Linked DNA regions of Elephas maximus indicus. The protein of the gene in region 1 purifies or fractionates together with the protein of each later gene. This does not show direct contact. Links are inferred from orthologs where the notes say so. Each region holds a gene or a part of one and is shown in the gene's direction. Other genes may lie near its edges.

Region 1 (7,696 bases):
ACCCGGGTCTTCATGGTCTGTCCGCGGCCAAAGCAGAGCCACACAGATGAGCGGGCCTTCCTCAAGGGGCACCCAGCGCTGTTCTGAAGAAGGGAGTATTCCAAGTGCAGCAAAAAAACTGGAAAAAAACGTGTGCACCATTAATTTTTCAATATCATTGTAAAGCGAGCTTCCGGTGAATGAAAGCATGTGTTTGTGCGTGTGCATGTCCACACAGGTGTGCATGCCTTAATGTGTGTACATGTGTGCATGTGCATGCGTGCACCTGACTGCATATGTATGCATGCACGTGTGTACATGACAACATAGGTTGGCCTGTGGTCATGCCTGATGTCCCTCTTGGTTAATTCTGAACAAGCAGCAGGGACTGACACATTTGAGTGTCCAGGTCCCTGACGCCCACCCAGGCCTTCCGGAGTCATCTGTGTAATAACCGAGAAGGAGAAGCTGACAAAGCCCCCGGACGCTGGGACAATGTAGCTCACTCCACGTGCCCCTGCCCTGCCGCCCTCTGTGCATAGCGGCCCCGCCGGCCTGCCTGAGAACTGCCGTGGGCGGGGCTGGCGCGCCCTCTGGTGGCCTGTGAGAAAAGAGCAAAAGCAGTCCTTGTCATCCCGTGGCATGCAGACCGGTGAGGACCACTGGGCTCTCTCCTGGTCATTTCGTCCATCATAAATGTCTTCCTAAAACGTAGCTTTCAAACTGAGTCTTTTGTATCAAACCAACCCCACACCATTCTGCTAAAGACAACTATAAAAACTGGGCAAATACATGCAAACGCCAAAACATTGGGGAGCACCAGCATGACAGGAATCGGGGCAGCACTGATTTGGAAATGGGGTCTTTGCAGATGGAACTGGTTAAGGTAATAATAGGTCATACTAGAGTAGGGTTCGCCCATAATCCAATATAAGTGGTGTCCTTATAAAAAGAGGAAAAGAGACACAGAAGGAAGAGAGACACATAGGGAAGAACACCATGTGAGGACAGAACAGAGATTGAAGTGACGGGGCCACAAGCCAAGGAATGCCTGGGGCCACCAGGAGCTGGAAGAGACAGGAAGGATCCTCCCCTAGAGCCTCCAGAGGGAGCGAGGCCCTGCCCACACCCTAAATTCTGACTTCTAACCTTTAGAACTATGAGAGAAGATTTTCTGTTGTTTTATGCCCCCCACTTTATAGTTCTTTGTAACAGCAGCCCGAGGAAACAACTACAGTTAATCAAAGTTACACATTTATTTTTAGTCAGCGTTGGAGCCAAGAGTCAAATCCTGGCCTCCGTGACTAAGAGCCTGGATCCTAAAGGAGGTGGTTGGTGACTGAAAGTGCCTAACTCTCAGCAGGCTCTCAGGAATGGTAGCTGCCATCAATTTCTTTTTCTTCCTTTTTAAAATATATTGTCTAAAAATCTAAGGCTTAAAACAGCAACAACAAAACACAACAGTTTGTCCAACTACTGGTACACACATCGTGGATGAATCTCAAAAACATCGTGCTGAGTGGCAGAAGCCAGATACACACTACATGCATTCATGTGACACTGGGAAAGACAACTCAAAACTGTCATGGCAGAATACAGGGTTGGGGAATGACAGCAAGGGGTACCAGTGGACTTTCTATGTAGAGGAAATGTCCTCTCTCGATTGCAGTGGTGACTGCACAGGTATAGACCTTTGCAAAAAACTCATCGATGTGTGTTTTACCAAAAGTGGAGTATACCTCAATGGGGCTGATTTTTTTAAAAAGTCCCTTTTCATGCTGTCTCATTAGGGGGAGATCAATTACGAGTATACAGCAAAGTGTACATAAGTTTTTGTATGAGAGTCTGACTTGATTTGTAAACACTCACTTAAAACACTATAAAAATAAAATCTTTTAAACGTCCCTTTTCACCCCCATTTCTCATTCCCAAGGGGCAACTGTTTCAACTCTTTGAGTTCTGTCCTCTGGCCTTTTCCTCATTTCTAATAAAATATTCATACGGTTATTTCTTGACATTCTGAGTTTTGAAAACGTGTATCGACCTTTTCCCCCGGAAAAGGAAGATTCTGCTGTCTCCCACACCACCCCTCCCACACCCATCCTCCAAATATTTTTAAGTTCAAGTAAATTTTTACTAAATATTTAAAAGCCTGCTTTCTAGATCCCATCATTCCTCCTCCCCCTCAAAATGCCCTCATCCATGTCATAGCATACATCAAGGCATCATTCCTTTTTACAGCCGAATAATATCCTATCGTGTGGATATACCACGTTGTGTGTATCCATCCATCTACTGATGGACGCCCAGGTTGTTTCCACTTTATGGCTACTGTGAATGGTGCTGCTACGAACATTCACGTACAAGTCTTTGCATGGACGTGTGTTTTCAATTCTCGCAGGTAGATACCCAGGAGTGGAATTGCTGCGTTGTCATACTGTAACTCTGTATTTAATGTCTTCATTTATTCCCTCACACATTCATTCAGGGAACATGAGGCAAACATCTATGAGTACACTTAACGTCACTATGGCCAGACATATACATGTGTGGAACGAATGGCGGTGGGCTCACAAGAACCCCAATGAAGAGTCCTTCCACTGGAGGAGGAAGATGGGGTGAGGAGAGGCCTGCTCTGCTCCACACCTCAAAACCCTTAGTCAACCCCAGGACCGGTTACATAGTTTACAGGATCTGGTGTAAAACTGAAATGGAGGGCACCTTGTTCACAAACTAAGAATGTTAAGATGGTGGCAGCAGGCACTAAACCAAGCATAGCCCCTTCTAAGCACAGGGCCGTGGTTACCCCAGATTGTCGCTCCCAGAGCAAGCAGAGCAGATTTCCAACTTTGTCCAGTCTCTCTCCCTGATCACCCTCCCCATTCAACTCCAACTCTTCTGAAGACCCTTGTTGAGCCCTGCCAAAGCCATTCCCTCTGTCTGGAATGCTCCCCCTTCCTACTCCAACCAGTCACCCTCTTCATCCTTCAAGAGGCAACTGAAATGTTCATTTTTTAAAAGACTTCACTGCCATGTTTGAGCACTACTAATTAAGGGTTTCCCAGGTGGAGCCACGGGTTTGCTCAGGAGGAGCCAGGGAAAGAGCTCTTTAAAGAAGCACTACCTCTGCCCCCTCCCTTTTCTGCCAGCCTCCTCTCAGGTCTCACTCTCCTGCTTCCATTTTGCCTTTTTTTTTTTTTTTTAAACACCTGCATTGAGTCAACAGAAGACCTCAAATAATAGTTAAGAAGGCACCATTTTTTAAAAATTGTACTTTAAATGAAAGTTTACAGGACAAACTAGTTTCTCATTAAACACTTCGTACACATTGTTTTATGATACTGGTTAACAGCCCCACCACACATCAACACTCTCCCCTCTCAACCTTGGGTTCCCTATTACCAGCTTTCCTGTCTCCTCTGGCCTTCTAGTCCTTGCCCCTGGGCTAGTATGCCCCTTTAGTCTTGTTTTATCTTAGGGGTCTGTCTAATCTTCGCCTTAAGAGTGAACCTCAGGAGCAGCTTCATTACTGAGCTAAAACGGTGTCAGGGGGCCACACACTCAGGTTTCTCCAGTCTCTGTCAAGCCAGTAAGTCTGGTCTTTTTTGTGAGTTAGAATTTTGTTCTACATTTTTCTCCATCTCTGTCAAGGACCCTCTGTTGTGGTCCCTGTCAGAGCAGTCAGCGGTGGTAGCCCAGCACCATCTAGTTGTACCGGACTCCGTCTGGTGGAGGCCATGGTAGTTGCAGTCCCTTAGTCCTTTGGACTAATCTTTCTGAGAAGGCACCACTTTTGAAGAAGGTGTGAGTTGGGACTGGGGGGCTCATTCATCCTGCCTTCCCCTTATCCGCACTCATCCACAACCACATTCTTAATATCCCCAATTTACCGATAAGAAAACGGAGGCTAGATACGCTGAGTGACTGTCTCAAGGCCACACTGCAGTACATGGGGGAACTGCAACTCCGACATACACGCCCCCGAAGCTGCGCTGCCTGCCTGGCGCTCCCTCCCTGGGCTGGGGCATCGCGGCGGCGCCTGCAGGACGGTAACTGGATGCAGGATGGTGACCGGTGCGCAGTCACTGTCTGCTCAGTTCTCAATTAGCTTCTGGGCGGGCGGGGCTGCTCCAAGCCTCAGGTTACTCATCTTTGAAATGGACATCTTGCCCGCCTGGCTGTTCTGCAGATGGCAGTGATGATGGTCAACCCTGAGAGTCTGTGAAAAGTTCGTCATCAGTAAAAAATGCCCTGAGTCTCCATTCAACGTCTTCTGACCGGCAAAAGGTGAAATGTTAAAGCTGGTTACATTTGATAAGGCGAGAAAATATTTCATCCGAGGAAGATAGATTAACGTGTTTCCGCTTTGATATTTAGAATAAGATGTTTTCTTCCGAAGGCGTCAGCCAGCAAAACTGCGAGGCGGCGAACCGGGGATCGCCTGCTTCCTCCTGGAAAGCCGCGGCGCACTCGTCACCTGACAGGGCGCGTCACATGACAGCGCTCGCGGGAGCGTTAAACCCTATACGCAGGCGTTCTCAGGCGGCCCCGTCAAGAGCGCGGGCTCAGGGCCCCGCCCCGGGGGGCGGGGCGTCTTGACGGCGCCTGCGCCGCGACGGTGATCGGGTGGGCGCGGGCCGGGGGGCGGGGCCGCGCGGAGGCCGGAAGGAAGAGGGAGCAGGGAAGAACAAGCGAGGGAAGCCCGCCTGCCCCAGGACGACCGTCGCGGCCTGATGACGTCGTACAATGGCCGGCCCCCGCGGGTAGTGGAGCCCGTTTGTTCCGCCCGCGTCGCGCTTGAAGCCGGAGCGTCTGAGGAGCGGAAGGGCAGAGGGACGTCTACTCCGCGCCGTCCCAACTCCAGCGGAGCAGTGGCCCGCTCTCGGCGCTCGCGCTGAGGTGAGCGAGGCCCGAGCGGGCGGCTAGGAGGCCGGGCTGGCGGCGCCGGCGGGGGGAGGAGGAGGTCGCCTCGGCGGCGGCGGCGGCAGGCAGGAGCGTGGCGGCGGTGGCGGGAGCCGAGGCCAGGGAACCCTTCGCCGCCGTCGCTTCCGTGGAGCGCCCCAGGCTGCGCGCTCCGGCCGTGGGGGCAGCTGACCGAAGCGTGGCTTCTGGGCCCCCGGGAAGGGGGATACTGAGACAGGCACGATTCCGCGTTCCGTCCGCGGCGAGTCCCGGCCCGCGGGAGCCCTGGAACCCCTCAGAGTCTGGACTCCTCGCGAGCTGCCCTCGCGCCCCGGGTGGAGTTTATTTTCCTGAAGCTGTCAGTTCTCATCCGGGCATTCGCGTGGCACATGTTTGCCGTCCACAAAGGGAGGGTGAGAGGCATGCGGATTTGTCCTCCGGACTAGGCCGGCCCCAAGTGTTGATGGCTCTTTGGGGGATCTTTGAGCTCTTTGGAGCCACCTGGAACTTGCTCCCTCGCCTCGAAAGTGTGCACAGGTTGGACGTATTTGCTGTGCCCGAGATGCTCTCCAGCGTCTTAGAAATAGTAATGTACTTGTCTCTTTGATTTAGGACCCCAAAGGATTCTGGGCCCCTAGAATAAACTAACTGCAACTATGATGCTGGAAGAACCTAAGACTTTAAGACTTAACTAGTCTTGCTCCTGCGAAAACCTTAAGTTTTCCTGGTTACTTTGTGACAGCTGAGTTTGCTGGGCAGAATGGTTGATTATGTTAAGTGAACTTTTTTTTAACAAACTCATTTGCAAGACTAAACCAGTCCTCAGCTCCACTTGAGGGAAATGGAAGAAGGGACTATGACATCTGAACTTCAGTTTGGGGTGTATCAATGGTTCCTCATTCCTCCTTTAGGACTCACCTCTGTCATACTGCCTGTGGAATGGTCCCTTCCTGAGGCAGTGGTCGGGATTCCCAGGTGAGCCTGGACTGAGGGAGATTCCAACTTCACGCCCTGGGAGGGGAGTCTCTGCCTGATTACATTACAGTCTGAGCGTTTGAGTAGAGTCCAACCAGGTCCCAAAAGCTGAAACTACTTTCCAGTGTTAGGGGAAATGCTCAGACAGCTGAAGAAAGCTTTGTGGAGTCATTCCAGAGAGCATACAGGTAAGTTCTGGCTGTGCTCGTGTTGGAAGGGGTTTTGACTTATCACAGCTACAAATGATATCAAGGTGTTTCCTTATTTTTTCTTCTGGTGGTCAAATTTAGTAAATTTGGGTGATGCTATCATTGTCAACTATAGAGGAGTCAGTCTTTCGTTTTGGTGTTACAAGTCTGTAAAGTTATGAACCTGAATTTTATCTAGACAAACCAGAACTTAAGTATCCAGGTAGACACTGCGTTGTTAAAAACAGTTGTCCCAAAAGGTTATGTTTCTGTTTCATTGATGTTTCTTTGCCAGTACGTCTTTAGCACTCCTGTTACGGTAATGAATATGTAAGCCATGTGAGAAAATCAGTCATATTTAATAGTCATACTACATGTTTGACCAAAACTTGTCTTACCTGGCTTGGTAACTCACCTCATTCTCCAGACCAGGCTCTGAATGACTTCTGACTATTTCTGAAACTAACCCACCTTGAGGAGGAAAATTTGCTGCTACCAGAGAGAGCCAGGAGAGCGATCTGCAGGTCTGAAGATCACTCTGAAAGAGAAGTTCCCGCGTGCTCTGTGCTTTAGCAGCGCCGTAGGAAGCGGTGTGTGGCCTTCCAGGGCGACTGCTTGGAAAGGAGACCACTCCCTTTCTGTGACTGATTTTTGGTGTATTCTTTTCAAAATTAGGCAACTCTTTAAATTTTTTTTTCCCTGATGCGCAACAGGTACTTTCTTAAGTAACGAGATTTTGTCATTTATGCATTTATTCACCAAACATTCATCCAGCACTGCCTGCCGAATGGAGACACTATAGGGTGGCACATGTCACCTGCTCTCTGGGCAGGTTCACAATCTTGTGGATCAAAAGTCTGAAGGTTTAGCTGGTTCCCGGCTACAACCAATGACTGTCCTGACAGGGAACACAATGGAACCCCTGAGGGAGCAGGAGAGCAGTGGGATGCAGACGCCAAATTCTCGTAAAAAGACCAGACTTAATGATCTGACTGAGACTAGAAGGACCCCGGTGGTCATGGCCCCCAGACCTTTTGTTGGCCCAGGACAGGGAACCATTCCCAAAGCCAACTCTTCAGACAGGGATTGGACTGGACAATGGGATGGAGAGGTTTGCTGATGAGGAGTGAGCTTCTTGGATCAGGTGAACACTTGAGACTGTGTTGGCATCACCTGTCTGGAGGGGAGATGAGAGGGTGGAGGGGGTTAGAAGCTGGCAGAATGGACATGAAAAGAGAGTGGAGGGAGGGAGCGGGCTCTCTCACTGGGAGGAGCAATTGGGAGTATGTAGCAAGGTGTATATAAGTTTTTGTGTGAGAGACTGACTTGATTTGTAAACTTTCACTTAAAGCACAATAAAGATTAAAAAAAAAAAAAGAAGAAGGTTTAGCTCCAAACCATGCCGTGAGCCCACAATTCACGGTGGTTGTGTCAGAAGAGCAAACTAAGCAGAAATTGTGATTGTGGGAGTTAGGTAACACTTGTCCAAAGGACCCCATTTCATTGACTGCACCTAATAGGCCGCATATTTCACTTTCTTGCACCCCTACATATCGGTTAAGACTTGTTCGGATAACCCCATTTCATCAGGCACGCTTAATGGGCTCTGCATTTCTCTTCCTAGCACCCCAACATATCAGTTAAGACTTGTC
Region 2 (7,742 bases), on another chromosome or scaffold:
CAGTGACCTGGAGGTCAGTGTGGAGCAGGAAACCAAATCTATGCAAATAACCCAACCCAAGCACACTGTTCTAGTTCTGCCTTCTGGCTAAAGCCCTGGGTCACCCTAAAACCACACCTCGCACAGGCGTCCTGCTCTGTGGCTGCTGCTTGGGTCCCACAGCCTTCTTATAACCCCAGTGCCACTGAGGAAAACCAAAGTCAGTGGTGTACTGGTGAATACTGAACAGCCCACTCTCTGGGTTAAAAAAAAAAAAAAATCCGATTTGTATCATTGGCCAATGTCCGTGGTGTAAACCTCCCACCGTGACCAAGTTCAAGCTGCCAACATGATGTCACTGAACTTGGCTTGGGACAAGATGCCATCGATCTGTTGTCATGAGCCAGTGTGAGCTGCTCTAGCACGCCACAGGATGGTCCCCTCCTGTGAACTCTATGGTACCGTTCATAACGCTACATTGTTCTATGACGCCACGAACCTCTGATTCATCTTCATACCCCTAGTGCTTAACATCCTATATGGCATGTGCCGGGCACTGGTTTACTTTGCAGCCAAAGACGGCTTTCTGCACAACAGATAAAAGCCAACTGCCACCTTGGAGACACTCCAGACTCTGGGACCCCAAACTCTCCTCTGGGTGTCTTGGACTCTTGGTTCCCCTGCCCCAGTTGGGTCCACAACCTCAAAATTCCCTACAGGAATCGATGTAGCAGGAATCATGGTGGTCCCTGAGCTCTAATAAATAAATGTATCTGTAAAGTGTTGCTATCCTCTCTCTGTAGTATGATGGGCCGAGCTGCTTCCCTCCTTCACCTGGCAGGGCTTGGAAGAGCTTGAAAAAGCATGCTGGGAGACTGCCACCACTGGAGGTGGCGGAGAGAAGTCTGTTTCTTCAGTCATAGAGGAACTGCTACAATGGCAGGCCACTGCGGGGAGGGATGGCCCAAATCACCTTGGGCTGGAGCAGAAAGAAAGACCATATTTTCTGTGTGCTCTCAGATCCCTTCTACAAAAACAGAGAAAACATAGTCCTTGTACACTTCCTCCAGGGAAAATAAGGAACTGCCTCCTTCTCTTGCTTCCTTCCCTTCCAAGTGGCCAATTCGTCTGGAAGCTTCACTGCTTCCTGCACTGCTTCCCGCACTGGTCCCACCACTAAAAGACTCAACAGTGAGTGTGCTTGTTTATGCTGGGGGTGGGGCTGGGCTGGAGACTGCTAATACTCATCCAGAGACCAAAGAGGTCCTCAGACTCCAAGGAGAACCCCACATGCCCTGGAGAGGGGGGATCTGACAGCCCCTCAGACAGAAGGATGGGATGCCAGACCAGGACTTTGGTCATTAGCAGTGGGGAACCTCTGGCCTTGGAGAGTATTTAACTGCAGCATCTCTAATGGGAGACTGGAGGGTGAGATGCCACCTCATGCCAACTCACAAGAATAACTGACCATTAGAACAAGCTAGTTTCTCCATTCTCAGGAGAAATAACTGTATTTATAGCCTGAAAGTATGTTCCTTTTAAACATGGATGGGGCAGGACCTTGAATACCTCCTTTGACCTTCTCAGGTCAAAGGAAATAGGGCTAATTTTGGCAATCTCCCCTCCACACTTGAGTGTTAAGTTCCTCCATCACCCTTACCTTTCAAATAGCCAGCGCTCTTAATAGCTATCCCTCTGCTTTCACTGACAGTCCCACTTTCAGTGGTTTATTTCTACTCTTTTTCAGGTATACTTTCAATCTATTTCTTACCTTCACAGTGAAATGTTTCCCAGTTTAGTTAACGCTCTTTGGATTATAAGTAATAGAACTAACCTGGGGGAGAAAAGCTTTTAGTGTAAGGATACTGTTTATCTCCCAGAATCTGGAGTTGTTTGATACTTGAAAAGGGCAGAACGAGGGTCCCTTGGCAGCAGACTTTTTGAGACTTTCTCTTTGGGTCATAGCCACTAACATGGTTCCCAGCAATTCTGTCTTGGGGCCAAATTTCTAGGCATTTGCATCCTATTGGTCCACCCTGAACCATCTCCTATGGCCAGGGAACAAAAACAAGGCTGTAGAAAATACACCCCATGGGCAGGCCAGGTAGTGCTCAGAGAAAAAAAGGACAGACAACTAGCCCAGTAGGTACAGGCAGCATTATTTCAGGGGTATCTTTTTGTACCTTGGAAAGCAATCGCACTGGGTCCACTTGCAGAGCTGGCCTGATGCAGGTTTGGGAGGGGATCTGTGGGAGAAGGTTCCATTGTCGGTTTCAGAGGTAGCAGTCCATGCCTCATCCCTTACTAATGGAGATAAGAAAGGTGGCCAGAAGGGTCCTTTTCTTAGGAAAAGTTTCCAGACTGACACTGATGCAGAAGAACTATAAAAATGAAAAGTAAACAGGGCTGCCTGCACAAAAACAATACTAATATAAAACATGGCTAGGACATGAACCAGAGACCTACATCATCCTGAGACCAGAAGAACTAGTTGGTGCCCGGCCACAATCGATGACTGCCCTGACAGGGAGCACAGCAGAGGACCCCTGAGGGAGCAGGAGATCAGTGGGATGCAGACCCCAAATCCTCATAAAAAGACCATACTTAATGGTCTGACTGAGACTAGAGGAATCCCGGCGGTCATGGTCCCCAAACCTTCTGTTGGCCCAGGACAGGAACCATTCCCGAAAACAACTCATCAGACATGGAAGGGTCTGGACAGTGGGTAGGAGAGAGATGCTGATGAAGAGTGAGCTATTTGTATCAGGTGGACACTTGAGACTGTGTTGGCATCTCCTGTCTGGAGGGAGAATGGGAGGATAGAGAGAGTTGGAAGCTGGCAAAATTGTCATGAGAAACTGGAAGGGCTGACTCAGTAGGGGGAGAGCAAGTGGGAGTACAGAGTAAGGTGTATATAAACTTATATGTGACAGTTTGACCTGATTTGTAAACGTTCACCTGAAGCTCAATAAAAGTTAAAAAAAAAAAAAACATGGCTAGGAAGCCTTTATGCCCCCATACTGTGTAACACCGTTTTTCAAAGAAGAACAGGGCCAGAGCTGAGGTAGGAAAATGGTAGCCCATAGCCATTTTGTTAGGCCTGAAGTAATAAAGGAGCCAGATTTCTCCTAGGAAACAAATAGGAGGTCCAGCACCACCAGGCCACAGTCCCACAGCGCAAAACTAGCTGACAGAGTAGCTGCTACCCCTCCAGATGGGTCAGGGGCTTTCCAGCTTCTCAGAGTCCCCTAAACATTCATTGCTTCACCCCTGCAAGCATGAGTTTGAACCCCCCAGGGTAGGTGTCTAGGACCTTTGCAGCTCACTCTCCCTGCCCGTCAGAAAAGCCAGGGTATAAATTGTCTGTCACCAGCTTAAAAGCCTTTCCTGTGGCTTCAAGCTTTCTAGATTGCATGATTAACTGTGTAGGCTCATTACAATCAAAATCAACCAGGTACCTCAGATGACAGGGCATTTCTGTACAGAACAGATTTCCTAATCACGGGTTCATTAGCTGGACCATAATCTTTCTTAGTCTGTATCCCAGATACTCTAAAATGGGAACTAGGAACACAGGTAGTTTGTTCCCCGGTGGGCCATTATCCCAATGTCTGGTAGTGGTGGGTGGGTGGGAACATACGAGGTCAGGGTAAATGCTGCGTACGTGGTAATTAAGGACAGAGGCCCTGGGGTCAATTGCCAGTGTTTACGTCCCCCCTCTGTAAGGCCTTGGGCAACTTAAGTAATCACTTCCTTTTAAGAAAGTGATCGTAGGTAGTAAAGGAGGTATCTCACCCAGTGTGCAATTAGCAAGTGCCAAAACAGAGAAAGCACTCGGTATGTTAGCTATTATTACTATGAGCCTATACCCCCAGGATTCCTAATCCATCTTACCTGAGAAGCACCACACTCAGACTCATTAATCAGCTCACACATTTAATCAGAGAATTTGGCACCTGCAGGGCTGTCTTTTCATCGATGATCTTCCCCGCAAGTAGTGTTCTATCAGGGCAGAGACAACAGCATCCATCAAGAGTTCTGGTCCCGATTGCAGAGGACAAGCTCCCTTTCCGGCTGTGGTTCTGTCCACGGGTCTTTATCTCTGTCGGGCTCCAGAGTCTTTCTCCAGACTGTGCCTGAACGATCACTCGATTGCATAGCTTCAGAGAGATTGTCGGTTTGGTCTGGGTTCTCTAATGCGTATGACCTCTGTAGGCCGAGAATCGGAGTCAGGACTCGGAGCCGCGCTCAGTGCCCGCAATGACCCCGCAGCGCCGAGACCGATGTACAGCCCAGACCGAGGGCGGACGACCTCGGCCCAGCCCAGCCCGGTCTTAAGGGTCTGCGCCCGGGCCCTTCCGGCTACCTGGTGGTGACCCCGGGCGGTCCCGGAGGCCGCGGCGCAGTTCTTGTTTGAAGGCGTCTCTGAAGCGGGCAGCGCGCCGGGCCGCCTCCTTACCGCGCAGCTGGGCCTGCAACAGCGCGAAGGCCGTGAGCTGTGCCGCACGCCGGATGGGCCACGACTCCGAGAGACGCTCCACCAGCTGCGAGCTGTGCAGCAGAGCTGCAAGCAGCCGCCGAAACACCATCCTCTCCGCAGCTCCCCGGAACCCGGGGCACGTGGCTCTAGCCTTCCGGTCGGCGGCGCCCCACATCGGACCGGGTCTGCGCCCGCGCCGTCTGATGACGACACTGCCGCGCTCGGATTGGGCCCAAGCATTCCCGCTCTCTCTGCTTCCGGCGGCCGCCTCCGCGCGTTTCCGGTTCCGCCGCCGGTGTCGCCGCCGCCGTTTCATTGTTCTCGGAGTTGCGGCGTCGCCGTCCACCTCTTTGCGCTATGTCCGGTGGCCTCCTGAAGGCGCTGCGCAGTGACTCCTACGTAGAGCTGAGCCAGTACCGGGATCAGCACTTCCGGGTGAGGGAGACCGGGCCGCCCAAGGGCCGAACGCTGAGAAACGGTTTGCTCTAATCTCATTGTGTCGTCTCTCATCCTGCTCGTGTCGCGAGAAGCGAAGTGAGGCCGCAGTGCTGCCCGGGGAAGCAGGGAATGGGTACTGGGCGGGTGTTTGTATTTCACTGAAGCCAGTTCCTGTCTAAAAAGGGAGTTTGGGGCTCGCTTTCTCATTCCCTTGCAGCCCTCCGTGTACCCGGGCCAGTGCAGGAGTGTTCAGGCAGTAGTAGTGGTGACGGCGGCAGTAGTAGTAGTAGTAGTGGTAGTAGCAGCAGCCGGCAGGGGTGGTTCTCATTTTCAGGGCCTGTGCCTCGGGGAGGTGGTTTTGAGATGAGGGGCAGGGCTGTCCGTTTGCCTCCGGAGTATGTGGAGGCGCGCCTTCCTTACCCGGCTACCAGGGCTTGCTTTTCAAAATGCGATGAGAGAAACAATAGCCTTTGGCGCTTTGACCCCTTTTCTTTGCCTGTAGGAAGGTTCTACCATGTTCTGCGCTTTGGATGGGAGTTGAGCCCTGCCCGAACCCTAGGGATGGGGAGGTGGACCAGCCAAGCTGGGCACTTAGAGGATGTCTGGGTGTCAAGATCAGAGAACTGCTGAATTTTAAAAGAGGAAATTTTTAGTTTAGGCTATGTCAGGAGATTTGTGAAAGAGAAGAAGGCTGCAGAATTTAGCTGCATTCTCATTGTGGGCTTTTCGGTATTAGGAATGGCAGGTATGGGGTGCCGGGAATAATTAGGAGACGGTTTCATTAATCCAGTTATTTAGGTTTTCATTGGGTTTATTGGGTGCTGTTAGGAAACCTGCTAAGCCATAGAGAGAGAGGGGAAGTCAGTTTCTGCACTCTAAACTTTAATGAGCCTCTAGTAGGGATTGTAAATGGAAGCAAGTCATCGTAATTCAGAGCAGAAATGGTGAGCACAAACGCAGGGGTTGTGAGGATTCAGAAGAGGGATAACAATTTGTGACTGGGAAGAAAGGGGCAGAAAGGGATGAGAGAGCAGCATGGAGAATGTGTACAATGTGTTCGTAGGGCAGGGAAAAGGAACTTTTGTTTGAGGCTAAACCGACGAGGATCTTAAATTCATTCACTCAGCCAACAGTTTTTAAATTCTTACTGTGTGCGAGGGGAAACCCTGGTGGTGTAGTGGTTGAGTGCTACAGCTGCTAACCAAGAGGTTAGCAGCCGTAGTTCAAATCCGCAGTTCAAATCCGCCAGGCACTGCTTGGAAACTCTATGGGGCAGTTCTACTCTGTCCTCTAGGGTCGCTGTGAGTCGGAATCGACTTGACAGCAGTGGGTTTGGTTTTTGGTTTTATGTGCGAGGCATGATTTCACTTCTTCCACTTTTACAGTTCTTGTTACCTTAGAAAGTTCCACATCATAACCATCTTGAATTTAGACCATCCTGCAAGGTGCAGACTGAAAGGATTAGACTTTTGCTATTATTCATCTCTGCAATTTAAAGCTTAAAGTTCAGTACTGTCATGCAGAATTGCTAGTGTTCCCTGAAAGGAATCCACATTCATATCATACCTTAAGCAAGCACTTAGACCACAGTTGTCTTAAGCCACAGGCTGGCTGTTTGGACATCTCTTACGTGTATGAGAAAAGTGAAACTGCCTCCTGACCATAATTTTAACAAATCAGTAACAGCAGTAATAAAAAGTTAATCTACATTCCCTGATGTCTCATTCCAGAGCTTTGAGAACCTATCGTTAACAAAGAACGCCTGTTCCCTTGTGGATTTTCTAAAGCAGTGTGGGATTGAGGACTAGACTAGGCTTGAATTGCAGTTATAACTGCTGAGTAGCTCTGGGACTGGGACAGGTTACTGACTTTTTCCTCACGTGTAAAGTGAGGATAATAAGTTAGGACCTACCTCATACAGTTGTTTTAAGGATTAGGTGAGATGGCATACATTAAGTCTGACTTGCAGTCCCTTGATTCTCCCCACAGGTAGAAACAGTTATCAGTTCATGCTTTTAAAAAATACAATTTGGAGCATACGCTTCACACCGTCCTGCATTCCATCTGGGAGGTGTTCCCTGTCCCTGCATGGAGATGTACAGGTTTATTGGCACAGCATGGTTTTATATCAGTGTGCTGTAATTAATTTAATCAGTTTCCTTTGGATGGTTTCACTGTTTCTCTAATCTGCCACTGCTTGTGATCACACGAGACCTTTTACTTTGCACACTGTGCTGCAAAACACTCAGAGACGAATAATGCAAGGTCGTATTCTCAGAGTGAGGGAAACTGGACCACCATGACACATGCAGGGCTCCTGGGAAAGTGCTGTGGGGCTCAGTATGAGTTTACTCAGCTACCGCTTTCCAAGCTGGAATGCCACTGTTAGGTGTAAGAAGGGTCATCTTAAATCCAAACTCAGTATATGCTTCATGTTAGAGCCTTACCTGGGTCAGGAGGGCCTGAGAGCAGGTCAGCTGGTAGGCCTTCTATTAATCAAGCATCTGTCCTCCCCAGTGTGGAAGCTGGAAGAGAACGCCCACAGACGGCCACACTGGTTTCTGTGAAGTCCTCTAAGTTACCACATCTAGCCCACGATGAGCCATCTTGTTCCCAGGGGTTGTCAGGTGTTTCTGTGGAAACCCAGTTACACTTCTGTCTCTGGCTTTATCCTATCTTCCAAATTAGGAAGTCCATCAAGAATGTGAGATGGCTTTTGTTTTTAGTGATCACTACATGCTCTCCTAACTCAGAGAAAACCATATAAGCATGTAAACCATCTAAGCAATTGTTGTTTTTGAATGGTCTCTATGGGAGCATTTCAAGGAAACCCTAATCTTTGGAA
Region 3 (7,872 bases), on another chromosome or scaffold:
CCTTTAGTACCATCAGATCTTGATCATATGCTACCTCCTGAAATGTTTGAACATCAACTGGTTTTTTTTTTTTTTTTTTTGTACACTGTGTATTCCTTCCATCATTCTTTTGATGCTTTGTGTCAGTTTTTTGCCCATGTTGTTGTTGGCAGATGCTGTCAAGTCAGTTCTGTCTCATAATAACCGTGTGTACAACAGAAATGAAACAGTGCCTGGTCCTGCGCCATTCTCACAGCTATTGCCATGCTTAAGCCTGTTGTTGCAGCCACTGTGTCAGTGCATCTTGTTGAGGGTCTTCCTCTTTTCACTGACCCTCTACCAAATATGATGTCCATCGGGGACTGATCCCTCCTAATAACATGTCCAAAGTATGTGAGGTTCAGTCTTGCCATCCTTGCTTCTAAAGAGCATTCTGGTTCTACTTCCAAGACAGATTTGTTCGTTCTTTTGGCAGTCCATGGTATATTCAATATTCAACACCATAATTCAAAGGGTCCATTCTTTTCTGTCTCCCTTATTCATCATCCAGCTTTTGCATGCATTATGAGGCAATTGAAAACACCATGGCTTGGGTCAGGCACACCTTTGTCCATAGTAAGATGACTTGAAGCACCTACTGATGAAGATCAAAGACTACAGCCTTGAGTATGGATTGCACCTCAACATAAAACAAAAATCTTCACAACTGGACCAATAAGCAACATCATGATAAATGGTGAAGAAATTGAAGTCGTCAAGCATTTCATCCTTCTTGGATCCACAGTATCAATGCTCATGGAAGCAGCAGTCAAGAAGTCAGACGATGAATTGAGCAAATCTGCTGCAAAAGACATCTTTAAAGTTCTAAAAAAGCAAAGATGTCACTTTTATGACTAAGGTGCGCCTGACCCAAGCTATGGTATTTTCAGTTGCCTTATATGCTGGATGATGAATAAGAGAGACAAAAGAAGAATTGACACCTTTTTAATTGCGGTGTTGGCGAAGAATATTGAATATACCATGGACTACCAAAAGAATGAACAAATCTGTCTTGGAAGAAGTACAGCCAAAATGCTCCTGAGAAGCGAGAATAGTAAGACTTCATCTTGCTTACTTTGGATGTGTTATGAAGAGGGACCAGCTCCTGGAGAAAAACATTGTGGTTGGTAAAGCAGGGGTCACCAAAAAAAAAGGAAGACCCTCAATGAGATGAGTTGACACCGTGGCTGTAACAATGGGCTCAAACATAGCAACAGTTATGAGGATGGCACAGAATCAGGCAGTTTCATTCTGTTATACGTTGGGTCAATATGAGTTGGACCCCTCAGCATCTAACACCATCACCCCTACTCCCCAGTCCAATTGATTCAGATTCTTACATTGCATTCATAATCTCCAGATGGTTCTATGAACAACCAGGGTTGAGAACCATTGTTATAAGCTAAACGGTCACCTAAAATGTAAGTTTTCTCCAAAGAAAACAGCCTTTCCCATTTCAGTGCTTTGTGCTTTAGCACATAGTGTCAACTTGGATCCAACCAGTTTCATAATAGGCGCTGGAATTTTATTTAAACAAAAGAAATATTTTGTTTAAACAAAACAATATTATTAATATAATAATTATTACTACATGTTGTTGTTAGGTGCCGTCGAGTCGGTTCTGACTCATAGCAACCGTATGTAGAACAGAACGAAACACTGTGAGGTTCTGTGCCATCCTCAGAATTGTTACGCTTGAGCCCATTGTAGCCACTATGTCAGTCCATCTCGGTTGAGGGTCTTCCTGTTTTTTACTGACCCTCTACTTTACTATGCACAAAGTCCTTCTCCAGGGACTGATCACTCCTAATAACACGTCAAAAGTAAGTGAGACAATGTTTCAACATCCTTGCTTCTAAGGAACATTCTGGCAGTATTTCTTTCAAGACAGATTTGTTTGCTCTTTCGACAGTCCGTGGTATATTCAATATTCTTTGCCAACACCATAATCCAAAGGCGTCAATTCTTCTTTGGTCTTCCTTATTCATTGTTCAGCTTTCACATGCATATGAGGCAATTGAAAACACCATGGTATGGGTCAGGTGCACCTTCCTCCTCAAGGTGACATCTTTGCTTTTCAACACTTTAAAGAGGTCTTTTGCAGCAGATCTGCCCAATGCAATGCGTAGTCTGATTTCTTAACTGCTGCTTCCATGGGTGTTGATTGTGGATACAAGTAAAATGAAATCCTTGACTACTTCAGTGTTTTCTCTGTTTATCATGATACTGCTTATTGGTCTAGTTGTGAGGATTTTTGCTTTCTTTATGTTGAGGTGTAATCCATACTGAAGGCTATAGTCTTTGATCTTCATCAGTAAGTGCTTCAAGTCCTCTTCACTTTCATTAAGCAAGGTTGTGTCATCTGCATAACGCAGGTTGTTAATGAGTCTTCCTCCAATCCTGATGCCCTGTTCTTTTTCAGACAGTCCAGCTTCTTGGATTATTTGCTCAGCATACAGACTGAGCAAGTATGGTGAAAGGATACAACCCTGACACACGTTTCCTGACTTTAAAGCATGCAGTAACCCCTTGTTCTTTTCAAATGACTGCCTCTTGGTCTGTGTATAGATTCCTCATGAGCACAATTACATGTTCTGCAATTCCCACTCTTAGGAATGTTCTCCATAGTTTGTTATGATGCACACAGTCAAATGCCTTTGCATGGTCAATAAAACACAGGTAAGCATCTTTCTGGTATTCTCTGCTTTCAGCCAGCATCCATCCAACATCAACAGCGATAGCCCTCCTTCCATGTCCTCTTCTGAATCCGGCTTGAATTTCTGGCAGTTCCCTGTCAATATACTGCTACAACCACTTTTGAATGATCTTCATAAAAATTTTACTTGCGTGTGATATTGTTCAATAATTTCTACATTCAGTTGGATCACCTTCAGTGAAATAGGCATAAATAACAATCTCTTCCCGTCAGTTGGCCAGGTAGCTGTCTTCCAAATTTCTTAGCATAGACTAGTGAGCACTTCAAGCTTTATACTCATTACTACATAATTAGTGTTTATTTTTTCCAGACTCTACCCAAAGAGCTTAAAGCTATGATCTAATTTAAATTTCACAACAATGCTATGGATACTGTTACTAAGACATTTCACAGAAGTAAGTTTTCTACTGACCCGATGGAGTCAATTCTGACTTACAGGACGCGGTAGAACTGCCCCATGGGGTTTCCAAGGCTGTTTGGAAGCAGACTGCGACATCTTTCTCCAGCGGAGTGGCTGGTGGTTGGAACTGCAGCTGAGCACTTTCTCCACTGTGCCACCAGGGCCCAGAAACAAGTTTAGGAATTTAAGAAAGAAACTTGCCTTGGCCATTACAAATCTGAAGGGTGCTGGAGTACAGCTTGAATCCAGATCTGTTTGGCTTTAGAACTCACGCACAACTATCATTCCAATGCCTCTTCCAAAAAAATCAGAAAACTGCTAATGCAAACCTCCCTCCCCCTGCTTCTCGGGATTACATTTTTGGTAATCTTGGGAGTCCACTGAGGATACCCTAATTCCAGGTGTATCTCCTGTAGATAGGTTTGCTACTTATTTCAAGTCTGTTAAATATTAATACATACTATATTCATTCAAAAACATTTACTGTTTCCTATGTTCCAGAAACTGTTGTAGGCAAACCAAACCCATTGCGTCCAGTCGATTCCGACTCATATTGACCCTACAGGACAGAGTAGAACTGCCTCCCCCCACCCTCCCATGCCTGTAGAGTTTCCAAGGAGTGCGTGGTGGATTCGAACTGTCGACCTTTTGGTTAGCAGCTGAGCCCTTAAGCACTGCACCAGCAAGGCTCCTTTATATTCACTTAAAAACACTTACTGTTTCCTATGTTCCAGAAAGTGTTGTAGGCATTGCAACTACAGGGAGCAAAACAAGCCACTTGTCTCAAAATGACTTTGTATTTAACAACCCATTTGTGCATTTGTAAAATGGGGATAATGGTTATCTACCTCACGAATCAAATGCAGTTCTACATAGAAAGCCCTTACTGCCTAGCATTGAGCAAGTGCTCAAAAAATATTGGATATTATTACTGTGCACTCAGAACTAAGGTAGCTATTGGGGATATAAAAATAACTATCACTGGATTTCTTAAACTCAGTTTAGAGGGGAAGACAAGCACCAAGGGTAGAATGTGAAGTGCTGGGAAGGGGCAAGGCTGTGAGAGAAAAGGTTCAGAGAGGTACACGGCTGCACTGGGACTTAAGGAAATCAAAGAATTTCGCCACGTGGTGCAGCAGTTCCTGTAGCTAGTGCGAAGGATTGGAGAGACGTGATGCTCAAACGGCTAGAGCGTAGGTACCTGGGAAAGGAAAAGATCAATCTAGAAAAGTAGGTCGAGGGCTCCAGTAGAATCAGATTCTGAAAGCTCTTGCATCACATCCCAACAACTCATTCTTTGTGATCTAAGAATTTACAAAGGTGTAAAAGACCCAATATCCTATTTAATAGTCGACAGTAATACCCAAAGTAAGCCACAATAACGAGGGCGAAACTTGGGGGAAGGGCTGGGAAAGTAGCACAGCTTTCCAGGGCCCAAATTACAACACATCAAACAGCCGAAAACATCCACAAAATGGAGGACCGGGGCAAAGAATAAACTGCAAAAAACGCATGGGTGGAACCCGACGTAAGCGGGGAAGGTATGTTAAACCCAGACTCTTCCTCACTATTGGCTCGACTAACTCTTATTTTCCTTTTTCATTGGTTATTGGCGCATTCTCTGGGTCGAAACAGCCAATCAAGTAGCTCCCAGGGTAAAGCCCGCCCTTCCTCCTATGGGAGGAGGAGTCAGAAGAACGTAAAGGGTCCAAGGCGCTTGCGCGGGCGCGCACTCCGCCGGTTAAAAGCGGGTCCTCCTGGGAGGCGGTGTTGCGGTGTATGAATATTGATTACGCATTGCAACGCTGAGCGCCCGCCCCTCTCGGCCGCCAGACGCTGGCTGTTCGCGCTCGGGCTCGCGATGGGGAAGAAGTCCCGGGCGGTACCCGGTCGCAGGCCCATCCTGCAGCTCTCCCCGCCTGGTCCCCGGAGCAGCACCCCCGGGCGGGACCCGGAACCGGAGGCCGACACCGAGCTGGACTCGACGGCGGCGGCCACCAGTCAGCCAGCCCCGACGGTGGTGGCGCCGGCCACGACGACTGCTGTGACGGCTGCCGCGGCCTCGGAAGACTCGCCTTCAGAAGGTAAGCGTGCATACGAGGCCCTGGCCTGGAGTCGGGCGGTCCGAAACTCGAGCCCGGGGCTTGAGGCCTAGGCCTCAGGAGGCGCCTGGCCTGACGCTGGGAGGAAGAGAAACCCGGGCGGGCGGGGTCCGCATCCAGGCCTGCGTGGGGCTGCGGGCTGGGCGGTGGAAGGCTCAGGCGGGCCGTGCGGGCTCCGTCCGGGCCGACCCCGAGGGCCAGCTCTGGTGCAGGGGTTCCCCAGGAACGTTTGAATCCGACGGCGGCCCGGGCGCCCTGAGTCCTCATCGTCCAGTGTCGGCTTGGGATAACTTACAGGGTGGGTGAATGTATGAGTTTCCGCGTCCGAGACGTGGTGACCGCTGACGCTGTGGCCTTTTCTATACGTCATGTGTTTTTCCCTCCGTTTTTGTTGAAACTGAGAGAGACTCTTTAGAAGTGAGCAAACCCTGTTTATTATGCCCGCCGAAACGTAACTGCCTCCAAATTGGCAGGCATGCCACACACATGGCTGAAGAAGTGAAACTTGGGGGTTCCCGTGGACTTGGGTGGCTCGCCTTGGACTGGTAATTAGATTAAGGGTGACGGGCCAGCGTTACCACAGGCGCTGAACGCGAAACAAGTCGCCATAATTTCAGGTGTTTAAAAAATGACGAGGGAGTTTTTTCAGGAGGGAAAATACTATAATAGCAGTGCTTGTTGTCAAGACCTTGTGGTAGCCTGGAGAAGAGAAATTTTGTGTGAATGTGAGGGGTTTTTTTGACTTTCGAGTATTTCAGAAGTAAAAACGTTATAATAGATATACATATCCACAACAGATTAAACAGATGGTAGTCTTTTGCTATTTTTACTTCTTTTTTTTTTTTTTATAAAATAAAACTTTACCAAGAGTCCCCCACTACCCCACATTCCATTTGTTTCCCTTCCTCCCTCCCTCTCAAGAGTATTCCGAAGCTGGTGAGTATGCTTGCTTTGTGTATTTTTATATTTTCACTCTATGTACGCTGTTAGTTTGTAGTTGTTTTTACATAAATGGTATCAAACTATGCACATTCTTCTGTAATGTTTGTGATTTATGTGTTAATACATGAGTTCTGTGTTGAATTTAACTGTTGTATTTTTTTATAGTATCCCGTGGTATGAATGTACCACCGTTTCTGCATTCCACTATTGATGGATGTTTACGTTTCAGGCTTCTTTCCTGTTTGGGGCAGTGATGCAGTTAACACCGTGTCTGCCTGTATATTTGTCTCAGAGTTTACGTAGGTTGTATATCCAGAAGTAGAATTATAGAGTTACATTGGTTTTCCAATGAAATCACCTTAAAAAATTATAAAGAGTTATTAAAAATTTAATCTTTAAGTACAACATTTAAGTTTTTCTCTTAATGTTAAAGTCACTAGGCAAAGGGAAGATTATAGCTGTGCTTGTTTATCATCTCCCAATTATTTGGGTCAGTGAGGGATTATCCACCCTGTTTTTAAATTGATGAAATCTAGGCTTTGAAAACGTCAAATCAGAGATTCTTGTGTCACTTGTAGTGTTTTTTCTTATCCATAGTCTGACTGCAGTTTTCTTTGCTCATTTTTAGATCCAGATGAACAGGAAGTGGTGGTGGAGGTTCCCAGAGTTGTTGAGAATCCTCCAAAATCAGTCATGACTACCAGACCCACAGCTGTTAAAGCAACAGGTATAGCTTTTTGGTTTGTGGTTTTTGTTTTGTTTTTTCCTACATCTTTTCTAGAATACCTTTCATTAGAATCAAATTGGTTTTACATAAAGATTGTTTTGTTGAAAGGTTTGGTGTTGATAACGTTTCTCCCGTAAAATGGAAATTCAAAATCTTTTGTTTGTGAGGATTTGGTATATACACTTGGACCAGTGGAAATTTTGTTGTTGCTTTTTCACTGTACGCAAAGTATTTTGTACTACTTTTTCTTCTGATACTATTTTGTAATTCGTTTCTTGCCCTCCCACTAGCTTGGTATTTCTTAAGATCACTGATCATATCTCTTACCTGTCCTTACGTTCCTTTTTTTAACATGCTAGCCTGATTGGTACCTAGCAAATGCTTGTGGACCTGAAAATCATTCTTATAAAATATTTTTTAAGCATTGAGAGAGATTTGCAATGGTGGCTTTGTAGGCAAACCTGGGTTCAAATCATGAGCCTAGCATTCACTCTTAAGATCTTCAGATAGTTGCTAATCACACTGAACCTCATTCACCTGTAAAACAGATCTAATAGCTCTGAGTTATTTTGAGGGTTAAATTGACAATGTGTGTAACATTTTCTGGAGTCCTGGTGGTGTAGTGGTTAAGTGGTATGGCTGCTAATCAAAAGGTTGGCAGTTCACATCTACCAGCTGCTATTTGGAAACCCTATGGGGCAGTTCTACTCTGTCCTATAGGGTCCACTATGAGTCAGAATCGGCTTGTTGGTAACAGGTTTGGTTTTATGGTTTATAACGTTTTCTGACACATAATAAGTGCCAAAAAATGTTAGTTTTCTTTATATATCGTGAAAGATTAAAGTATGCTTTGATACTAAATATTCTGTAATTGTAATAATTTTATTCTTTTGTATTTGGAATGCTTTTTGTGCTATTTGACACCTAAAATAATAAATTTTTCTTCTGTCCCCCAACATTTCAGAAC
Region 4 (7,184 bases), on another chromosome or scaffold:
TGAAAATACCATGACATGGTGAGGTACACCTCAGTCTTCAAAGTGACATCTTTGCTTTTTAACACTTAAAAGAGGTCTTTTTCAGCAGAGTTGCCAAATACAATATATCCTTTGATTTCTTAACTGCTGCTTCCACAGACATTGATTGTGGATCCAAGTAAAATGAAATCCTTGACAACGTCAATCTTTTCTCCATTTATCTTGATGTTTCCTATTGGTCAAGTTGGGAGGATTTTTGTTTTCTTTATGTTGAGGTATAATCCATGCTAAAGGCTGTAGTCTTTGATTTTCATCAGTGAGTGCTTCAAGTCCTCTTCACTTTCAGTAAGCAAAGTGGTGTTATCTGAATATCACAGGTTGTTGATAGGTCTTCCTCCAAGCTTGATGTCATTCTTCTTCATATAGTCCAGCTTTTTGAATTATGTGGTCAGCATACACACTGAATAAGTATAGTGAAAGAATACAACCCTGATGCACACCTTTACTGATTTTAAACCCAGAAGTATCTCCTTATTCTGTCTGAATGACTGCCTCTTGGTTTACGTACAGGTTCTGCATGAGCACAATCAAGTGTTCTGGAATTCCTATTCTTCGCAATATCATGATCCACACAGTTGAATATTTTTGCATACTCAATAAAACACAGGTAAAGATCTTTTTGGTATTCTCTGCTTTCAGCCAAGACTCATCTGACATCAGCAATGACATCCCTCATTCCACGTCCTCTTCTGAATCCGGCTTGAAGTTGTGACATTCTAGCAGTTCCCTGTTTATGTATTGCTGCAACTGCTTTTGAATAATTTTCACCAAAATTTTACTTGCATGTGATATTAATGATGTTGTTTGATAATGTCCACATCCTGTTGAATCACCTTTCTTTGGAATGTGCACAAATATGGATGTCTTCCAGTCTGTTGGCCAGGTAGCTGTCTTGCAAGTTTCTTGGCATAGACGAGTGAGCACCTTTAGTGCTCCATCTGTTTGATGAAACATGTCATTTATTACTCCATCAATTCCTGGAGCTTTGTTTTTCCTGGAGCCAATGCCTTCAGTGTAGCTTGGACTTCTTCCTTCAGTATCATTGGTTCTTGATCATATGCTACTTCATGATATGGGTGAATAATGTTAACCAATTTTTTGGTACAGTGACTCTCTGTATTCCTCCCATCTTGTTTTGATGCTTCCTGTGTTGTTCAATATTATGTCCACAGAATCCTTCAATATTGCAAATCAAGGCTTGACTTTTTTCTCCAATTCTTTCAGCTTGAGAAATTCCCTTTTGTTTTTCTAACTCCAGGTCTTTGCACATTTTATTGTAATAATTTATTTTGTCTCCTTTTGCTACTCTTTGAAATCTTCTGTTCAGCTCTTTTACTTCATCATTTCTTCCATTTGCTTTAGCTATTCTGTGTTCAATAGCAAGTTTCAGGGTCTCTTGTGACATCTATTTTGGTCTTTTCTCTTTCCTGTCTTTTTAATAACCTTTTGCTTTTTTCATGTATGATGATGTCCTTGATACGGTCTTTAAATTCAGGTGGGATATACTCAAGGTCTTATTTTGGCTCTCATGGGCTTGTTTTAATTTCCTTCATCTTCAACTTGAATTTGCATATGAGCAATTGATGGTCTTTTCCACAGTCAGTCCCTGGCCTTGTTCTGGCTGATGATATTGAGCTCCTCCATTGTCTCTTTCCACAGATGAGGTTGATTTGATTCCTGTGTATTCCATTCAGCAAGGTCCATGTGTATAGTCATGCAGTATTTGTTGTTGAAAAAAGGTATTTGCAATCAATAAGTCGTCATTTTTGCAAAATTCTATCATGTGACTGCCACTATTGTGCTTATCACCAAGGCCATATTTTCTGACTACTGACCCTTCTTCTTCATTTCCAACTTTTGCATTCCTATCACCAGTAATTATCAATGCATCTTGATTACATGTTTAATCAATTTCAGACTGCAGAAGCTGGCAAAAATCTTCAATTTCTTCATCTTTGGTATGAGTGGTTGGTGTGTAAATTTAAATAGTAGTTGTATTAACTGCTCTTCCTTGTAGGTGTATGGATATTACACCTACCGCTTATAACATTGTACTTCAGGACAGAGCTTGAGGTGTTCTTTTTAATGATGAATGTTATGTCCTTCCTCTTCAATTTGCCATTTCCAGCATAATAGACCATATGATTGGCCAATTCAGAATGGCCAATATCATTGCATTTCAGCTCATTAATGCCTAGGATATCGATTTTTATGTATTTCATTTCATTCTTGATGACTTCAAATTTTCCTAGATTCATACTTTGTACATTCCACATTCCTATTATTAATGGATGTTTGCAGCTGTTTCTTCTCATTTTAAGTCGTGCTTCATCAGCAAATGAAGGTCCCAAAAGCTTGACCCCATTTACATCATTAAGGCCGACTCTACTTTGAGGGGGCAGCTCTTCCCCAGTTATCTTTTGAGTGCCTTCCAAAGTGAGGTACTCATCTTCTGGCACTATATCCCCTGCTATTCAGAAGGTTTTCACCGGCCAGTTCTTTTAGAAGTAGATAGTCAGCTCCTTCTCCCTAGTCTGTGTTAGTGTGGAAGCTGAGCCAAAAACTGTCAACCATGGATGACCCTTCTGGTATTTGAAACACTGGTGGCATAGCTTCCAGCACCACAGCACCATACAAGCCACCACAGTATGAGACACTTGAGTGATGGGAAAAAAAAAAAAAAAAGTACAAGTGCACTACATGGTAAAAACTATGACATTCTGTTAAAAGAAAGCTTATGTGAAAATTGATAAACACAAATACATATTGTAATAAATAAGGCATTATGAACATAAATAAAGCATTGATTACAAAAATTAGAAAAATTAAAACACATAAGTCTAAAAAAAGCAGAAGGAAGGAATCAGTAAAGCCAAATGCAGAAACTGAAGAATTAGAAAAAAAGAAAGTCCTAGAAATAATACATGTGAATGCAAGAGCTGGTTCTTTGAAAAAAACAAATAGTAAAGGAGATAAACTGTTAGTTAATAGAGCTTGCTTTTGGGAAGGAAACTGCATAGTTGTAGAAGGTGGTGGATGGGATATTTACTTAAAAAATAATATATTGTTAAATATTTCAGGCATATCAAAAGGTGCAAAGAACAATATAAAGCACACCTATGAAACCACCATCAACCTAAGAAATAAAACATCATCAAAATGTTTGAAGCCCCTGTGTGCTTCTCCATTACATCTCCCTCCAGCTCACCATGAGTTTGAACTCTTAGTGTTCATATTTCCAAAGCATTTCTTTATCATTTTATAACATATGCAGGCCCTTAAAAAGTGCTATTTCGCACATTTTTGAACTATGTAGAGGTTATTTTACACTACTTATTTTTTAACCTGTGGTCGTATAACTCCGTTGCTGAGATTATCCCTGTTAGTAGGTAACAGCACTAGTTCATGCTCTCCCAGTGCTATACGCTATTACATTGTATCAACCACAGTTTACTTTTCACTTCTTCCGTTAATGGAAATTAAGTTTCCAGCTTTTTTGCAACTAAAAATTGTTGCCTTGAACATTCTATCGGTAGGTATTTTTTTTAGGCACATCTGCAAGAATTTTCCCAGGAGTTGGGCAGTCACTTGTTTACTTTTACTAGATGTTTCCAAATTACTCTCCCAAACCGTTGTGCCAATTCACACCACCAAGTAGCTGGGTATGGTTCCAGTTGCTCCACATGCTCAACACTTGGCAGGGAGACTTACTCTCCACTCTGAGCCCTTTTTATTGTTCCTGGCATTTCACGTTATAAAATGTCTTGAATTTTATCTCAATCCTCACAAGTTTGTGGGTTAGGTATTCTTATTCTTAGTTTACAGATGAGAAATCAAAGGACCTTTTCGTTTTCTGAGACGTTTCTTTTCTTTTTTTCAATGTCTTTTTCTTTTCATCCTCTCTCACTGCATCTTTTCCTCCACGTCGTGTAGGGGCTGCTTGTTGGAGGGTATGCAAGGTAGGGCGGGGTATCAAGAGTTGGCACCTTTCCCCACCCGACCTGCACCACGTGCAAAACCTACTCGGCACTCCGCCACCCGGAGGCCGTCGTGGCTCTGTAACGCGCGCGGTAGAGAAAGGTTTGGACCACTGGAGCCTCCGTAGTCAGCTCCTCTCCTCCCCTCTCCTCTTGCATCTCAGAGGGCTCCGTCCGCCGCGCTGGAGTAGGCGGGGCGACGATTTCGGGCAGCTGGGCGCCTTACGGTAGGCCGAGGTTTGCAGCGCAAGCGCGCAGGGCGGCGGAAGTGCTGTCGTTTCTCCGTCTCCTGAGCCGTTGTCGTTTCTCCCTCTCCTGAGCCGCTGTCGCCGAGGTTGTAGCACACTGCCCCGGAAGTCTTCCCCCTGCCCCCGCCCGCTGCAAACATGGCGGTGGACTCGGCGATGGAGCTGCTATTTTTAGATACTTTTAAGCACCCGAGCGCTGAGGTAAGGCCTTGTGACTTCATTCCGACCTGCTTCTCCACTTGGGCATCCATACCAAAAAAGAAAAAAAAAAAGGCCATTAGACATGCCTTCATTTTTCTTCCCGCCGATTGTCGCGTTAATTCCTCACGTACACCCCCCCTCCCCCAACATGGGTGTGGGCACCATGTCTGAGAAAGGGCTACAGCAGCCCTCTCATTTCCCTGGTCTAACTTAGGCCTCCGTGTCTTTAGTCGAGTTGGCTACTCTGCTCGCATTCCTCTTTTTTTTTTTCTCATTCCTGTCAGTTTTGGGCCTTCAGAAGGATCATGGTTTGCAGATTTACCTCAGGTGTTTGGGAGAGGTCTTGGGCAGCTTGTGTTTGACAGTAACGCAGGAGTCCGAGCACCTCACGCTGGTTTGGTAGTTCTTGGTTAAGACTTCTCTGAATCTTCTTCAGGTCACTTTTCTAACGGGAGTTCTGAAGCTCAGTTGTGAGAATTAGGATTGCGGCGTTTTCCAGTTTATCCTGAAACTTCAGTATTTACCTCTTGGAAAGATTTCACACATTTGTACACGAAATGCTTATACGGAACGTCCCTTGTGTGGAGAATACTTGCAAAGAGGGGAGAATTGAGAGAAGTGTAGCCAAACTTCCGTCCGAAAGCACAAACGTATTGACGTTTTGGAGAGTCGGTGTTGTGCAGCAGCTGTTCTGTACCAGACAATTTCGAGCACCCCTGAACGTTTGACTGGCTCTGCAATATGTAAATGGAATGTCACTTTTGGAGCCCTGGTGGCATAGTGGTTAAGAGCTCGGCTGCTAACCAAAAGGTTGGCGCTTGAATCCACCAGGCGCGCCTTGGAAACCGCAGGGGGCAATTCTGCCCTGTCCTGTGGGGTCGCTGTGAGTTGGAAACGACTGGATGGCATCGAGCTTTTTCGATTTAGTTAACTAAATGTTCCCAGAAGCAGGCCACAAACTAATATTAACGAAGTCCCCAGTGAAATTAAAAAAAAAAAACCCTCACATTTCTTCCCTTAATCTGGATTTAATCAATTTAGAGAACTGTTCTTTATTCGGAGATTCTTCTGTTTTTATTATCAGAGGAGTGTGTGTGCATATCAAGCTCCATTTGGATAAGTAGTGTCTCTCTTCTTCACAGCTGTATCTCCAGTGCCTAGAACAGTATCCTGTAAAATGTAGGTGACCCATTAACCAGCTGCCACCGAGTCGATTCCGACTGATAGTGACCTTTTAGACCAAAATGTAGGTGCTCAATAAATATTTGAATAAGTCTTTTAGATTGTTCTTTCATTTTTGAGGAAACCCTGGCAGCGTAGTGGTTAAGTGCTACAGTTGCTAACCAGAGGGTCAGCAGTTCGAATCCACGAGGCGCTGCATGGAAACTCTATGGGGCAGTTCTACTCTGTCCTATAGGGTCGCTATGAGTTGGAATCGACTCGAGGGAACTGGGTTTGGTGTTTGGTTTTGGTTTTCACTTATGAAATAATGGTGATAGAAGGTGTATTTTAATGCTTTGCTTGTCAGAATGAAACGTTGACAACCGTGATGTGATTTTTTTAACAAATGGTTTACAAGTCTGTGAAAGTCAAAATTTTGTGAACCATGGATTAACATCTTACTGATAACCTCACATTTCTTGTAGGTCAGTTAGCTCTGTTCAGTGACATCTTTTCTGACTGTAGTTCTAGCTAGGCTTTCGAAAACTTACAGTGGAGTCAGTGGTTGGATCAGAACAAACCTATTGTGTACAGAGATGGAGAACAGTTAAAAATGAAAGAAAAATCACATGGTAAGTCAATTTAGTAGTAGTCTGGTTTAAGAAAAGTTGGCGTTCAGTCATTTATCACATATTGGTTGGCAATTTGAACCCACCCAGTGGCTCTGCAGGAGAAGGACATGGTTATCTGCTTCAGTAAAGATCACAGTCAAGAAAACCCTATGAGGCAGTTCTCCTTCGTCACACGGGGTCCTTATGAGTTGAGATCAACTCAATGTCACCTAACAACAAGAATCTCTTATTCCTTCATTTATTCTTAGCAAGTGAGGACAGTGAGAGCATAGGGAAGGGAGTAAATATCTCCTTGTGGGGGTGACTGGGCATAGTATAGATCAAATTTGAACAGAGTCTTGGTGGAGTATGGGCTTGTGTGTAGAGAAGGAATGGGGGAGAGATGTTCTCAACAGCAGACTAGGTGTGTGCAGAGGTGTGTGCAGAGGTACTGTGTAAGATATATTTAGGAATTGGATAGTAATTGTGATCTAAGGATAGGGTGTTTAGAAAACAGTGTTGGAGAGTGAAAAATTAAGAGTAGTCTATCTGGAAGTCAGCTTTGGTGGTCAAGAAATGTGTGAGAGCTATCAAGTTTCACAGTTAAAAATAATTAGTATGTCTTAAAACAGAGATGGTTAATGAATTCTATATGTGTGAGGCACTTTGCTGAGTGCTGTAGGGGACATTGAGATAAAACAGAATCTCTATGCTCAAGGAGTTTATAGATAAGTATTAGGGATTTAAAAAAAAAAAAACCAGAACCCATTCTTTTAGTCAGTTCCGACTCATGGGTTACAGAAAATTGCCCCTTAGGGTTTTCTTAATCTTTACGGAAGGAGATCTCCAGGCCTTTCTTTTCAGTTACTGCTGGGTAGATTTGAGCTGCAAACCTTTAAGTTAGTAGTCCAGTGCAAACCATTTGCACCACCTTTGTTGTTAGGTGC

What was found.
Region 2: the proteins of ZC3H18 (region 1) and NCBP2 purify together in Homo sapiens (co-immunoprecipitation; 3 studies listed by BioGRID and IntAct, with this or other methods). This does not show direct contact. The link is inferred for Elephas maximus indicus from reciprocal best matches to the Homo sapiens genes ZC3H18 and NCBP2.
Region 3: the proteins of ZC3H18 (region 1) and FNBP4 purify together in Homo sapiens (affinity purification with mass spectrometry; 3 studies listed by BioGRID and IntAct, counting the BioPlex papers as one, with this or other methods). This does not show direct contact. The link is inferred for Elephas maximus indicus from reciprocal best matches to the Homo sapiens genes ZC3H18 and FNBP4.
Region 4: the proteins of ZC3H18 (region 1) and VIRMA purify together in Homo sapiens (affinity purification with mass spectrometry; 3 studies listed by BioGRID and IntAct, counting the BioPlex papers as one, with this or other methods). This does not show direct contact. The link is inferred for Elephas maximus indicus from reciprocal best matches to the Homo sapiens genes ZC3H18 and VIRMA.

The regions. Positions count from the first base shown.
Region 1 is NC_064839.1:53,895,022-53,902,717, forward strand, and holds the start of ZC3H18 (zinc finger CCCH domain-containing protein 18), read left to right. Parts: upstream 1-4,678; 5' UTR 4,679-4,878; intron 4,879-5,792; 5' UTR 5,793-5,856; intron 5,857-5,863; exon of another isoform or gene 5,864-6,044; intron 6,045-7,696.
Region 2 is NC_064819.1:18,463,238-18,470,979, reverse strand, and holds the start of NCBP2 (nuclear cap-binding protein subunit 2), read left to right. Parts: upstream 1-4,732; 5' UTR 4,733-4,816; coding exon 4,817-4,894; intron 4,895-7,742. Other genes in the region: protein NCBP2AS2, read right to left, coding at 4,142-4,188, 4,346-4,634. UniProt on the Homo sapiens protein: Component of the cap-binding complex (CBC), which binds co-transcriptionally to the 5' cap of pre-mRNAs and is involved in various processes such as pre-mRNA splicing, translation regulation, nonsense-mediated mRNA decay, RNA-mediated gene silencing (RNAi) by microRNAs (miRNAs) and mRNA export.
Region 3 is NC_064825.1:103,132,765-103,140,636, reverse strand, and holds the start of FNBP4 (formin-binding protein 4), read left to right. Parts: upstream 1-4,862; 5' UTR 4,863-4,995; coding exon 4,996-5,218; intron 5,219-6,806; coding exon 6,807-6,905; intron 6,906-7,872.
Region 4 is NC_064833.1:47,454,002-47,461,185, forward strand, and holds the start of VIRMA (protein virilizer homolog), read left to right. Parts: upstream 1-4,177; 5' UTR 4,178-4,402; coding exon 4,403-4,465; intron 4,466-7,184. UniProt on the Homo sapiens protein: Associated component of the WMM complex, a complex that mediates N6-methyladenosine (m6A) methylation of RNAs, a modification that plays a role in the efficiency of mRNA splicing and RNA processing.